Linked DNA regions of Daphnia pulex. The protein of the gene in region 1 interacts with the protein of each later gene in a pairwise test. Links are inferred from orthologs where the notes say so. Each region holds a gene or a part of one and is shown in the gene's direction. Other genes may lie near its edges.

Evidence for each region.
Region 2: the proteins of S-phase kinase-associated protein 2-like (region 1) and cyclin-dependent kinases regulatory subunit-like interact in a two-hybrid assay, tested with the Drosophila melanogaster proteins (2 studies listed by BioGRID). The link is inferred for Daphnia pulex from reciprocal best matches to the Drosophila melanogaster genes Skp2 and Cks85A.

What each region holds. Positions count from the first base shown.
Region 1 is NC_060018.1:4,260,045-4,266,530, forward strand, and holds S-phase kinase-associated protein 2-like, read left to right. Parts: upstream 1-2,136; 5' UTR 2,137-2,365; coding exon 2,366-2,881; intron 2,882-2,948; coding exon 2,949-3,051; intron 3,052-3,111; coding exon 3,112-3,420; intron 3,421-3,484; coding exon 3,485-3,647; intron 3,648-3,712; coding exon 3,713-3,896; 3' UTR 3,897-3,952; downstream 3,953-6,486. Other genes in the region: peptide chain release factor 1-like, mitochondrial, read right to left, coding at 3,985-4,317, 4,383-4,484, 4,556-4,704, 4,765-4,987, 5,046-5,128, 5,184-5,541; cyanocobalamin reductase / alkylcobalamin dealkylase-like, read left to right, coding at 5,889-5,966, 6,058-6,252, 6,318-6,405, 6,485-6,486.
Region 2 is NC_060022.1:673,909-680,200, reverse strand, and holds cyclin-dependent kinases regulatory subunit-like, read left to right. Parts: upstream 1-2,470; 5' UTR 2,471-2,527; coding exon 2,528-2,625; intron 2,626-2,701; coding exon 2,702-2,829; intron 2,830-3,643; coding exon 3,644-3,681; 3' UTR 3,682-3,827; downstream 3,828-6,292. Other genes in the region: E3 ubiquitin-protein ligase RNF8-like, read right to left, coding at 42-144, 202-444, 501-629, 699-1,214, 1,275-1,385, 1,444-1,538, 1,951-1,960; DNA-directed RNA polymerase II subunit RPB7, read right to left, coding at 3,829-3,876, 3,938-4,075, 4,141-4,191, 4,260-4,419, 4,492-4,601, 4,671-4,682.

The sequences.
Region 1 (6,486 bases):
CTGGATTATGCTTCGAACCTTCTCCTCATTTATTTTCTGATAATGTATGAATTGATCCAATTTAAAAAATGATCAAAGATCACCTTATGTGTTGTTCTTTAGATTGACCTCATTGATGAAGTAAGTGCATTGAAGCTGATAGCCTCAATGAGAGATCTACATACACAGGAGACTACAAGAAGAAAGCAAAGTGTATCTGCATTTTTAGAGAGTCAAGCTGCTGTCGATGAGAAGGAAATTGAAGAGATCACTTCAGACCTTTCCTTGAACAGTCTTACTAACAACATTCCCTCACTAAGTGTTCTCAACTTGCAAGCAAGGAATGGGCAATTGCTACAACATACTCAGGCTTCCATGGAAGTCCTTACTCCAATTCAAAGCTCGACTGTGGAAATCAAGAAGAAAGAAAACATGTCTGCTATCAATCTAGCTGAATTTGAGAGTTATTCAACAAATCCTTTTGAGGAAATGGAATTAAAGACCTTGAATGACAAAGAAGAATTAGCCATGTTGCTCCAACCCAGCCCTCAGCCATCTTATGGACTACAGTATCAGAACTATAACCCATCAACAATTCCATCTTGGACTGAAAATGTACATATTATTTTATATTATTTTTCTTATTTTAGTTTTTATTTTTCACTAAAGAAAATAAAATATAATTTTTATTTTAGAGACATCAACCTGTGCGTCAATATGAAGCTGCAGCAAATTGGATTCCCAATGAAAGTTCATTCTTTAGTGTTGACAAGCTATCTCATGGGAACATCGCTATACCTGTAGAATTCCAAAATCAAGCAATCTCACATAAAAACTTACGTCAAGCTAAAAGTGTCCCAGACCTCTCTGACGTAAGTTTTGGGACGGGAGAAACCCCTATAAATAAACCGCCATTTACAGGTGTGACGGACAAAAGACTCAGTTCTCGCACTCCCCCTCCTCGTTTAACATCAGATTCTATAAAAAGACCAGTGCCTAAACCAAACTTTGATGTTGCATCTCCGTATGAAAGGAAACTGAACGCAATCGAAAAACGTTTAGTCCAGCAGCTACAAGATATGGGATTTGTGAGAGAAAATGCAGTTCGTGCTATTGCTCGACTTGGTGCCAACGAAAAGGATGTTGTTGATCAGCTTTTACTAATACAGAAACTGGAAGAATCGGGCCATTCCATTGAGAGAATAGAAACGGCTTTAGACGTTCTTAAGCCCTGTAAGGAATTACCAACGCAATTAGAACATCATTTAGTGTTAGTTGATCAGTTGTCTGCTTTAGGATTTGAACACGGTAAGATTAGCTCTGCGCTTGTTGCTGCTGGACACGATCGCGATAAAGCCTTGGATATTCTTTTGTTAAAGTAAATTACATTAAAATCATACGATGTTTATTTAGTTTTTTTTTTTCGTGTTCTTATGTCCTCAAGTCAATCAATATTTTTTTGTTCTTCGATAAGTATAAAAATCCAAATGTCAACGATTCTGTACTTAGTCTTCACCTTTTTTCTGCTGGAATAAATTGACATATGACATTATTCAACCTAATCAAATTGTCAAAGTGTGGTTAATAAAACACCAACCAAACAAATACTTTTGCGCGAAACGACTCGGGGTTTGGTTAATGAATAAATATACACGTTGGCGACATCGATGTCATTGCATAAATTAAAAGTTATTGATTCCGTAGCTATAGACATCTGTGATCATTCTGTCGGTTCACTCAGTTGTATTTGTATTGAATCTTTTTTGAAATTCGCTTCCTCCCTGGTCCCTTAAACTGGTTCCTGGATCCTAAGCAGAAGTAATTAGAATATTTCTATTACTCATTAGTCATTACTCTGTTCAAAGTTTCCTAAGTAACTTAATGTTAAAGTTTTAATAATATTCTTAATGTTAAAGTTATAATAATCAGTTAAAATATTCTACAAACAGGCATCATCGCATTGACACAGGCAAATTTGAATTCCCGCCGTCTTTGCCATACTTATTTTTTTCTAAATTGAATATTTTTCTTTCCTTACTAAATAATTTCGTTACTTTAGTATTAAAAGTAACTTTGGTTAAAATCTGTGGTAAATTTTAAGATTTTTGCTTACATTATTTTTTAAATTTCCGAAATGAATTGTTGAACGGTCAACATCGGATTCCACAGACAGTGTCTTTTTAGCGCGCGACGTGACGAGTTTGGACGTTGCTGATTGTAGATTTTTCTTTTACACGTTTTCAATATAAACGCAGTAATTAGTTTGAAGTGCCTTTTGGTTAAACATTTCAGCTCAATAATTGTTTCCAGTACGCTTTTATGTACCAAAATTTTTATTAATTCTCTCCCTTTGTTGATTTCGTCGTTTGCCCCGTTGCTACAAAATATGGCTAAGTTAAATACCGGGTTTAAACGGTGGAGTCTTGATTGCCATGACGTATCGATAGAAGTCATGGAAGATCTAGGATTATCTGCAATGGACGATGATTCAAACTCCTGTAGCAATCCATCAGTAAAACAAGTAGTGATCTCCAATATTCCTGAACCTGCTGTAAAGCGAAAAGAATGTTCACCTTTTGCTGTCCCGTCAGCTGTAATGGATTTTTCTGAAGATGACCAATCTAGTGATAGCTTTTTATTGTCTAAACGAATGAGGATGGATGGTCCCCCAGGAATTGATGGATTCTCACGCCTCTCAGACGAAGTCATTCTCAGCATATTTAAATGGCTTCCAAAATCAACTATCGCCAAATGTGCTCAGGTGTCAAAGCGTTGGAAACGACTGTGTTATGATGAAGTTTTATGGAGGAGGTTGGACCTTAGTGGCACCTGCCTAAAACCTACGATTCTAGGTAGTGTTCTTTTAAGAGGAGCACACATCTTGAGGCTAGCTAAGACTGAGGTAATTAACTTTTGTTTGTTTCTTTGTTATCAACTACTAATATTTAATTTTTCTAAACAATGTACAGATTTGTGATCCAATATATCCAGTAAGTCCTCTACTTCAAGAATTTCCAAGGTATCGAAATTTGCAATTTTTGGATTTGAGCATGGCATCTATTTCAACACAAGGTAATCTCACCAAGTCATAATTTATAGGAATAAGGGTACAAATTTGGACATATTATGCAGGTTTATTTGATTTATTTGATACTTGTAAAAACCTGAAGAAACTTAGTATGGAACATTGTGTTGTTGATGAAAGAGCATGCAAGGCACTAAGTCAAAATGAGCAGCTTGAAGTGCTGAATATGTCCATGTGTTATGGTGTTGGAGTTAGTGAACTTAAATGGATTGTGAATGGATGTAAGAAACTTGACAGTTGGAATTTAGCTTGGACAGACTTGAATTCTGAAGCTCTTCAGTTGATTAGTACATCTGCACCAAAATCCTTAGAACGCATAAATATCAGTGGTTGTCGAACGACACTTAAAGACGAACGTAAGTTTGTAATGTTGACTGGAAATTTGTGATCATTAAAGTTGAATGCCGAATTTTATGTTAGATGTCCTGGCCTTGTGTCAACGTTGTCCAAAGCTGGTGGAATTAGACATAAGCGACTCCACAGCAGTGACATCAATTTGTGTCAGCTATATTCATGATAATTTAAAGCGACTGGAATATTTGGCGATGGCTCGATGTTACAACGTGCCTCTCTCCGTGTATTTGTAAGTAACATTGGCGTTAGAGAGCAAAATTTGAAAGATATTTTAATCATTTCTATTTCCTTTAGGGTGTTTCAAAAGAGTGGTCTTTTATACCTTGACATTTTTGGTTTATTGACGGAGACTATGCTTGGAACACTTCGCGCCAAACTTCCGAGTATAGAAATCAACAAGTTTTATTTCTCTAGTGTAGCAAGACCTACAGTCGGAATTCGACGTACCTCAATTTGGGGGATGAAAGTCAGAGAGTGAAAAATTCAAGTCATGTTTATTGCAAAAATTAGTAATACATATTGATGTATTCAAAACTGGTAAAACAATTTATTGGCATTCAGCGGACTTAAACTTTAATTTTTTCTAAAAATTCAAATACGCGTTCCTTGTATGACTCTTCCTTTAGTTTTCCTATGAGCACATGAAATGGCCTTGCGCCTCGTAAAAATTCCCCTAAGTTATGACTAGTGAAATTTATTCGATGGTCTGTGATACGATCTTGCGGGAAGTTGTAAGTCCGTATTTTTTCTGAGCGACCGCTAGATCCTACCTGCAGCTTACGACTTGACCGAGTAGTTGCCAACTGTTGGTCGATTTTCATTTGGAAAAGACGAGCTCTGATTTTATCCATTGCAACCTTACGATTCTGCATTTGCGATCTTTGTGTCTGACATTCCGCCTAATTAAAAATGTAAAACATTTAATTGTTGATGAGAAATACTTCAGTTAGTTCGGTAAACTTACCACTACACCTGAGGGTAAATGGACAATTCGCACTGCTGATTCAGTTGTATTTACATGTTGTCCACCTGCGCCGCTTGCTCTTTTTGTTTCGATTTTAAGATCCTTAAAAAAAAGAAGAAAAAAAATGTTAGTCATGCATTCAAGGAAACAGAATTAAGTATTAGTAAACTTACTTTCTGTTCAATGGTCACGGAAACTTCCGAAGGGCGGGGAAGGATGGCAACGGCTACCGTACTGGTATGAACACGTCCGGCCTTTTCAGTTTTGGGCACCCGCTGGACCCGGTGTACTCCACTTTCAAACTGCAGTCGATCATATGCGTCTGAGAAAAAAGTAGGTAGTTGTATCTAATATATTAAACTAAATTTTTGAAAAGACATACCTGAATTATTAATGCAAATTGCAGCATGCCTAATACCTTCTAAATCACTTTTTTCAATATCTGTTAATTCATAGTCCCATCCTTCACTTTCACAGTATGTGATGTACATTTGTAATATTTCATTGCAAAACAACATGGACTCTTGCCCACCAACTCCGGCAGAGAATTCCATGATTATTCCCTCAGTTTGATGATTATCTTCCTGCAAAATGAGTTCTAACACCTAAATCAATGAATGGGTTCTTATCAATCATTTAAACTTGATTACTCTGAATTTATACTTCATTTTGGATCTGGACTAGGATTTCCTTTAACTGTGAAAATTCTTCACTGACCATTTTTGCAAGGTCACCATTTTTATCATCTAAGATACACTATTTAATATAGATTTTTAAATAAATATAACTAGATACACCTACCATCTGCACTCAAAGCTTTAAGCTCTTGTAGATCATTTTCAGTCTGTAATAGTTTTTCCCCTAATCCAGCAAGTGATTGGATGCGTTGTTTGTTTACTACACCTATTCCAGACTTTGATTCAATGTTTTGAAATCCTGATTCATCAAACTTTTTCTTGATATTTAATAAGAAAATTCGAAGTCTCGGGTCAAATATATTTTCGAATGATACTTGATTGAGATTTAAACTCCTATGTGAAATGGTTTGATTCAAACAGCGAATGGATATTACATTATTAGCATAGCTTTTGGCGAAACACGGTCGTCGTAAGGCACTTAGAACTCGTACTATTTTACTGGAAATACCCCAAGTTACCATTTTTAATGACTAAACTTTGATGGTAATTTGAATATATTTTCAACGTCTTCAAAATCAAAATCACAGTGAATCGCAGTGAATCCTTTTTGACGGTAGCAGACGACACTGGAATCTTGTTGATTGGTGAGTCAACTGTTTAGAAAAACCTGAAGGTGAGTTTAAAGAGTTGTTGTTTTGAAATTTGATTCACGCAGTGTGAATTCGTGAAACATGCGTGTGCGCGGGATTGATTTACACAATTAAACCGATCATACGTTGGAGATAAAAAAAATATCCTCTGCCCGTTATAGGCTAGTATATGCATCGCACACAAATATCTCTATGGCACTCTGTTAGTAATCGACAAAATGACTACGTTATTCGAAGTTAACACAAAGCTTACAGAATGTTTACATGATTTTGGGTTAGAATGCCACCCATTCAAGGTAATTTTTATTTTGCTTCTTTGTGTAGTAATTATTTTATGCAATATTTTTTTAACTTCTAATTAGAGTTAAATGCATTTCTTTATTATAGGTTGGATGGTACAATGAACGAGTGAAATCTGGCTTTCAATTAGAACACCATGAAGACACACTTTGTTTTGTGGTGATAAGTAGTCCTTCATTTTTCGAAAAAGGCTTTATACCATTTGTTCGTAACAATACTGGAAGCAATAATCAGGATTACCTTGATCAAGCCATAAGCTCTTGTCTTAAAACAGCAATTCAGGTTTTATTTGATTAAATAACATTGTTTTTTATTTATTAGTTTATCACTCTATTATCTTTGTGTAGTCAATTCCAGGCTATGATATTAGTATTCTCCATGATTATGAGATGAGACCAGGAACAAGAAGACCAAAAGTTCTTGTTCAAACAGCAGGCTTGTTCAAATTATTGCTTATATACCATTATTCAATTATGCTTATTATTCAAATTCAATTCATTGCTTGTTCAAACAGGC
Region 2 (6,292 bases), on another chromosome or scaffold:
AATCAAATAATTTGCTTAAGTACGGTATAAATTTGATATACCATCATCCATGACAACCACAATGTTTCCTGCATTTTGAATTTCTTGTCCTTGGTGAAGGAGTTGAATTGTTTCGTACATCTCAAGGCCGATGGCGGCACGACTCTAAAACTTTCTATGCTAAAGCTCTTAACTATACGTATAGTATATCTATAAATATACCTGAATTTCTGCAATTTGTTTTTCTTGAGCATTCAATCGTGCTTCACGTTCAGCCAGTTCTTCTTGCATCTGACGAAGTCTCAATTCGTCCTCACTGCCTTTTCGTTGAAATTGCTTCGCTTCTTCTTCAATTTTACGTCGTGCTTCCTCCAACTCTTGTTCCAACGATTGATGAGATCGCTTAATATGGGCCAGCTCATTCATAGTTTCTTCTTTGAGGCGACTCTCTTCTTCCAGGCGCTCCTGGGAAAAAAAAAAAAGATAAACAAATATTTATAAATAATTATTTAAATAGTTACTTGTAAGACGTTTTTTTCCCGTATGAGTTGCTGTACAACTAATTCTTTCTGCTCAATGAGTTTCTGCTTCTCCAAGTTGGCACGTGCGACACTTTCTTCGAATTCAAGTTTTTTCTTTTCGCATTCATCCTACAATAATAACATAACATTTTAGTATAGCGGCATTAGCATATACGGCCAGTCTATTAGTGAGATTACCCGAAATTCTTGCAAGCTAACTGACATCCGTTGTTCAACATCCTCTTTTTGTCGCTGTAATTCATTTTTTTCCAGTTCTCCGCGTGCGACTTTTTCTTCCAATTCTTTTTTTTCTTCAGCGAACTTCAATTCAAGTTGTACCTTAGCAGTTTCAAAGTGTTGGTTGAGTTTCTCCTGCTCCAGCACCAGTTTATCTTTGAGTGTTTTCTGTTGCTCCAGTTTTACATCCAAGTTGTCACTTTCTTCTTCAAGTGTCTTTTCGAGGTTTTTCTTAGAACGGACCCAATTGTGAAAAGCTTCTGGGGAATCTTTCAATGACGGATAATTTCGATTGGCGAGCGGAATTCGCATCTTCTTTGCAACTGGCTCTTCGCCTACTTCGGATGAATCAGACTGAACACGGAAAGCATACACATACTTATTACCGGCACCAAATTCGATAATATCCATGTTTTGAATAGGTATTTGTTGATGCTTTGGTAATGCAACGTGATTCACAGCAACACCATTCATACCCTTACAAAAAAAAATAATTAGATTTTGCAAGCCATTACGCTGTATAAAATAAAGACTTACCACGTTTTCGATGGTCCATTGATCTTTTATCAGTCGGAAAACGGCGTGTTTACGAGAAACTAGAAGATCAGCAATAGTGAAAGTATTTTCCTTAGACCGCCCAATGGAAACCTAAGCAAATTAGAGGGTAAAATAACAAACAGAAATACATTTTTTCCACTAAACTTACCTCATTACAGCCCAGTTGGATGCACTTGTAACTTGCATTTATATCATTGGAACCTATTCTTCGAAGAACAGCCCCAGGAATCTTTGACACAATTTCTAGAAAATAACAAAAAAAAACAAAAAATGAATACGATTAAATAACAATAAAATAATTTTCATTGTTTAAAATAAGCTGAACAATGAAATATGTTATTACTTAGAATACGTCAGGAAAGGATAACTGAGTATGTGTAAATAGTATTATATGGCTATTAAAAAGATTTTGTATGGTATAAGTCGTATAACATTGCAAAATGATTTGCACCAACACGATAATGCTAGGGAGATAATTTTAAAGCCTATAATTAAATGTAAGTGTACTCTCGTGTGCTACTCATGAATGATATTTGTTAAAATAAGCGGGGGACCCAAATAAAGTGTGTTTAAATCTTTTGATGACAAAATCAGCAAGACGAACTGGTGATTGCAAATGGATAAGCATGCATTTAAAAATTTTTAAAAAAGGTACCTTTGTTCATTATTTCTTGCTGGATTGATGCAGTTTCTATTCTACAGCATCAGGCACTTCTAGCTTCTAAATCAAGACAATAACGTTTGTCGATGTAAGAGACTGTTCTTGTCTGGACAAGAAGTTAAAAAGTAATAAATAAAAAAAAAGCGAAGAATTGTGATGAAGCCTTTCGGTTAACCCGACAAAAGCATAAGTTAATTGCCTTTCAATATGCAATAAAAAAAAGTGTATGGCTAATCAGACTTTATTCCACCTTCGTAAAATTTGTAAATGAGCTGATGATGATGATATCTAAGTAAGCAGACTCTTTTACTTGTTAAAGTTTTGAATCAAGAAGCTTCATTGCCACACCTATTAAACTACACCTTTTATCTAGTGAATTTGATGTCAGTGTATGCAAACATAGCGTTATATCATATTTTGGAAAGATTTTATATCATTAAATTTTTTATTTTTTAAAAAATTCATATCGCACATAATTTTTAAAACATAATAAAATATTGTCAGGGCTGCCTCTTTTCATTACCAAGTTGCCAAGTATGTCTTTACGTTACAAGATGGCACGAGAATCTTAATGCAGTTCAATTCACGAATCAAACAATTCAACAACATGCCACCTAATACGGAGATACAATATTCTGATAAATACACCGATGAAAATTTTGAATACAGGTAGTCAAGTTATACTTGTTAATGCATTATTGATGTAGATACTCATGTTTAAAGTAACACAATTATTTTCGTACAGACATGTAATTTTGCCGCCAGAAATGGCGAAGTTGGTTCCACGAACACATTTGATGACCGAAACGGAATGGAGAAATTTGGGAGTTCAACAGAGTCCCGGCTGGGTACATTACATGGTCCACAATCCAGGTTTAAATCAGTCAAATACCATTACATTTATAGACTAGGTGAACATTAAGTCACATGTCAAATGCCAATCATCACCTGATTGTTGTGATATGATTGCTGCTGTTCAACTTTGTTTTAAATTTCAGCTAGATCAGTGATTCACCTTGTTTTGCAATAGTCATCAAAACTTGTAGACCCAGTTCTTGATTCGCCAAACTCTGTCAAAGCACAATAAGAATAATGATTATTTTTCTTTCAAAGCCTTTTCTTTCTTGGGAATATCTTTAGTTTAAAAAATCATTTCTGTGTTACCTGTGTTTTTAATATATGTAGGATGGGATTTCCTAGCAGTGGTCATTCATAGTTATATATCAGAGAGATTATCAAAATAACTGTCAGGTGAGGAGAGAGAATTTCTTAAAGAGTTAGTAGCTGAAAAGTTTTATTCTGCAAGCTTTTTATTCTGTGTAGCCTTGAGAAATTTTCATCATATCACATCTCTTAAATTCTGGAATTTCTTCCGGATCTGACAACCTGGTGTCTTGTAATTTATGAGCGCATTTAAAAAAAATATTCTTGCGGTAGGAGCCGATTCATTTTCTTTGAACTGCAGTTTTCGAGATCAGATAAATTTTCGTCGTCGTCCTTGCGGAAAGCTTATGCTTTTTTGATTAGATAGGGAACGTTTTTCACATCATAACCGTATGCTTTCAAATTTTCTTCGTGTCGAAAGGTAGCTCCGTCCTTATTATCATTACATTCACAAATGTTTTTATACTGTCGTAGTTATTCTGTTTAGAATAATGATTTTAACTGATATTTGTTTTCTTTTCAGAGCCGCATGTCCTACTATTTCGACGTCCGAAAGAATGATTGCAACAAACAGCAATACCCAGATTTTCTTTGCACTATAAAATTGACTAATGTTACATTCCTTTTCTCGTTTAATTTCAACTCCATACGTTAACCTTCGAAAGTTCGAATAACACAGTGACAATACAAACATTGAATCCAAATAATTTAGCTGACCAAACCCAAGTAGTCGTCCATAAGTGTTCCAATAGCAAACTAAAAAGAACGTGTAAATGTTTAGTACACAACTGACTTTCTGTCTACGAATATCACTTACAATATCGGTGGCATCCACTCTCAAACCGACAATTTTTATGCGGATTTCATCGTCCTGTTGAATAACAACATCTTCATCCTGGGTTTTGTAGCAAGGTGGGGTTGAATTGGGGTCGAACTGCATGTCCGACGGAATCGACTAAAGTGAAATGAATAGTTAGTTATTTGGAGAGAAATTTAACATTTTTCTGAAAATACACATACGTGTCTGGATATGAAACATGAAAGAGGCCCAATTTCTGTGAAAAGCCCAACCTGCATACAGAAATAAAAAATCAGTTGCTTCAGAGAAGTTAACAAAAAATGAAAATAAGATTTCTTGCCTTATTGACTTGTGTTACAACTGCATCCAAAACCTGCCCTTTGAATGGTCGAAAGACAATTGCCTTGTACTTGACAGGGTAAACAACAAACCCTTGCCCAGGCTGAATGATACCAGCACCAATGTTGTCGATAGTGGTCACTGCTATGACAAATCCATACCTAGTTTATCAAAAACAAAAGTTCACAATGCCTAGTTTCATATGATCATATTACATCAAAACGAAGAATTACTTTCCAGTGCAAGTGCCTTCAACTTCTGTAAAAAGCTTTTGTTTTACAGTTTCCATCAATTGTGGTCCGAAATATCGAGGATGCAAAAGAATTTCGTGTTCCAAAGCAATCTGCGAAAATCAACAATTCAAACTTAATTGAACGTCGAAACCAGATCAAAATATTATGAAGTAGTTTACATGATAGAACATTCTGGCGGTGTATCAAAATTTTGCCGTATGTTCAGAACGTGATTGAACCTTTTAGTTCTTACGAATTTCTCCTGAAAATAACCCAACTTTTGATTCGAATTCGATTAATTAAATAAAATAACCTTGACTGAAATCGCCGGAGATTGAGAAAACGAAAACAGAAATTGAAGAAAGAGTGAAGGATTAGACTAAACAGTAACCTAGAAAAACGACGCCCGGAAGAAATTGATGTATGCACTTAGCACTATCGATAGCTAAAATTTTACTCAATAATCGATACACGCCAACCAATAAAGAAAAAGTCGAAATTCGATCATCTGTCAATCTGGATTCAGATCACCTCTCTTTTTTTAACCTCGTTTCTCAAAACCACTCAAAACCAATATCTTTTTTTTCTCCCTCTCTCTTTTTATTTTACAAATTTACATACAGAGTTGGGGTAACATTCACTTCACCGCTAAAAATAATTCGAGATAAAATTTAACATGATAATAAAATATTTCTGGAACGCTTATATCATTCTGAAATTTAAAAATAAAATTGTGACATAGTGTTAAAAAAAACTGGTTCTTCAACTCTAATTATTATTAAGGTCATACACAAGTTACCAAATGCGCAATTCTTAATAAGCCTAGAGCAATCCATATGCCAACGCCCCACCAAATATTATATACTCTGAAACCAAGAATAATCCCTAGGATTTTGACGATAAGTAGCTACCTATTTCTTTTCCCAACACGCACAACTTCTTGCGTCTTGCCCGAAAGGTGTTCTCCGGCAGCACACGTGCAGCACAACAATGTCGATAATCCCAATTAAAATCCGATTTGACTTTCACTGCACCTTCATACTGTTGTGATCTTCCTGAATCAAGGTTGTTGCCAAGGTCGTCTAATTACCTATACTCCAAGTAATGAATAATTTCAAGCAATATACACAAGGTAAGTTTACCTTGAATTCAGTTTCTCTTCACGAGGACGATTTCTCCAATCTAAAAGTGCTCGTACCTACGTACGGCTTGAGTAGCTACCTGCTGAAACGGCTAAACTATCTCGAATTTTGTAACACATCTTCAATCTATTTTTATTTATTTAAAATGTCAATCATTGTCTTAATTTGTTTTAGAGCATAATTATAGGTTTCAAAATGTTGTTTGTTAATTTAAAATTACCTCGATTTCTACCCCTCAGTTCTTTTGCGTTTATCAAAGTTGTTGATGTACCCCTCCAGCTCTTTGCAAATACTTTCGTAACCGGTTAATTCGATACTTCTTCTTAATCAAGTCTCTCAACTTTTCCATGTTGGTTCATTTCTTTGTGAACGTTTGCCAAATTTTCTCACCACCGAAATCACGACTTATATAGTCATAGGAGAACTGCACCAGACAGAGTGGAAAACGAGATTACGCGGTGACAACAATACCGGTTCGAGCCATTATTTAAAATTCAGTAAAAGAAAGGCTTGATTAATAGATTAAATCGCATGTCGTGGAGCTAAAAAAAAATGCAAATATACACATTTTTACCCGATTTAAGGTAGTTTTTCCCTTGGGAGGTTAACAAAATTCCCACATACTTGGTATATGAGGGTCATTAAAATCTGAGTAAGAA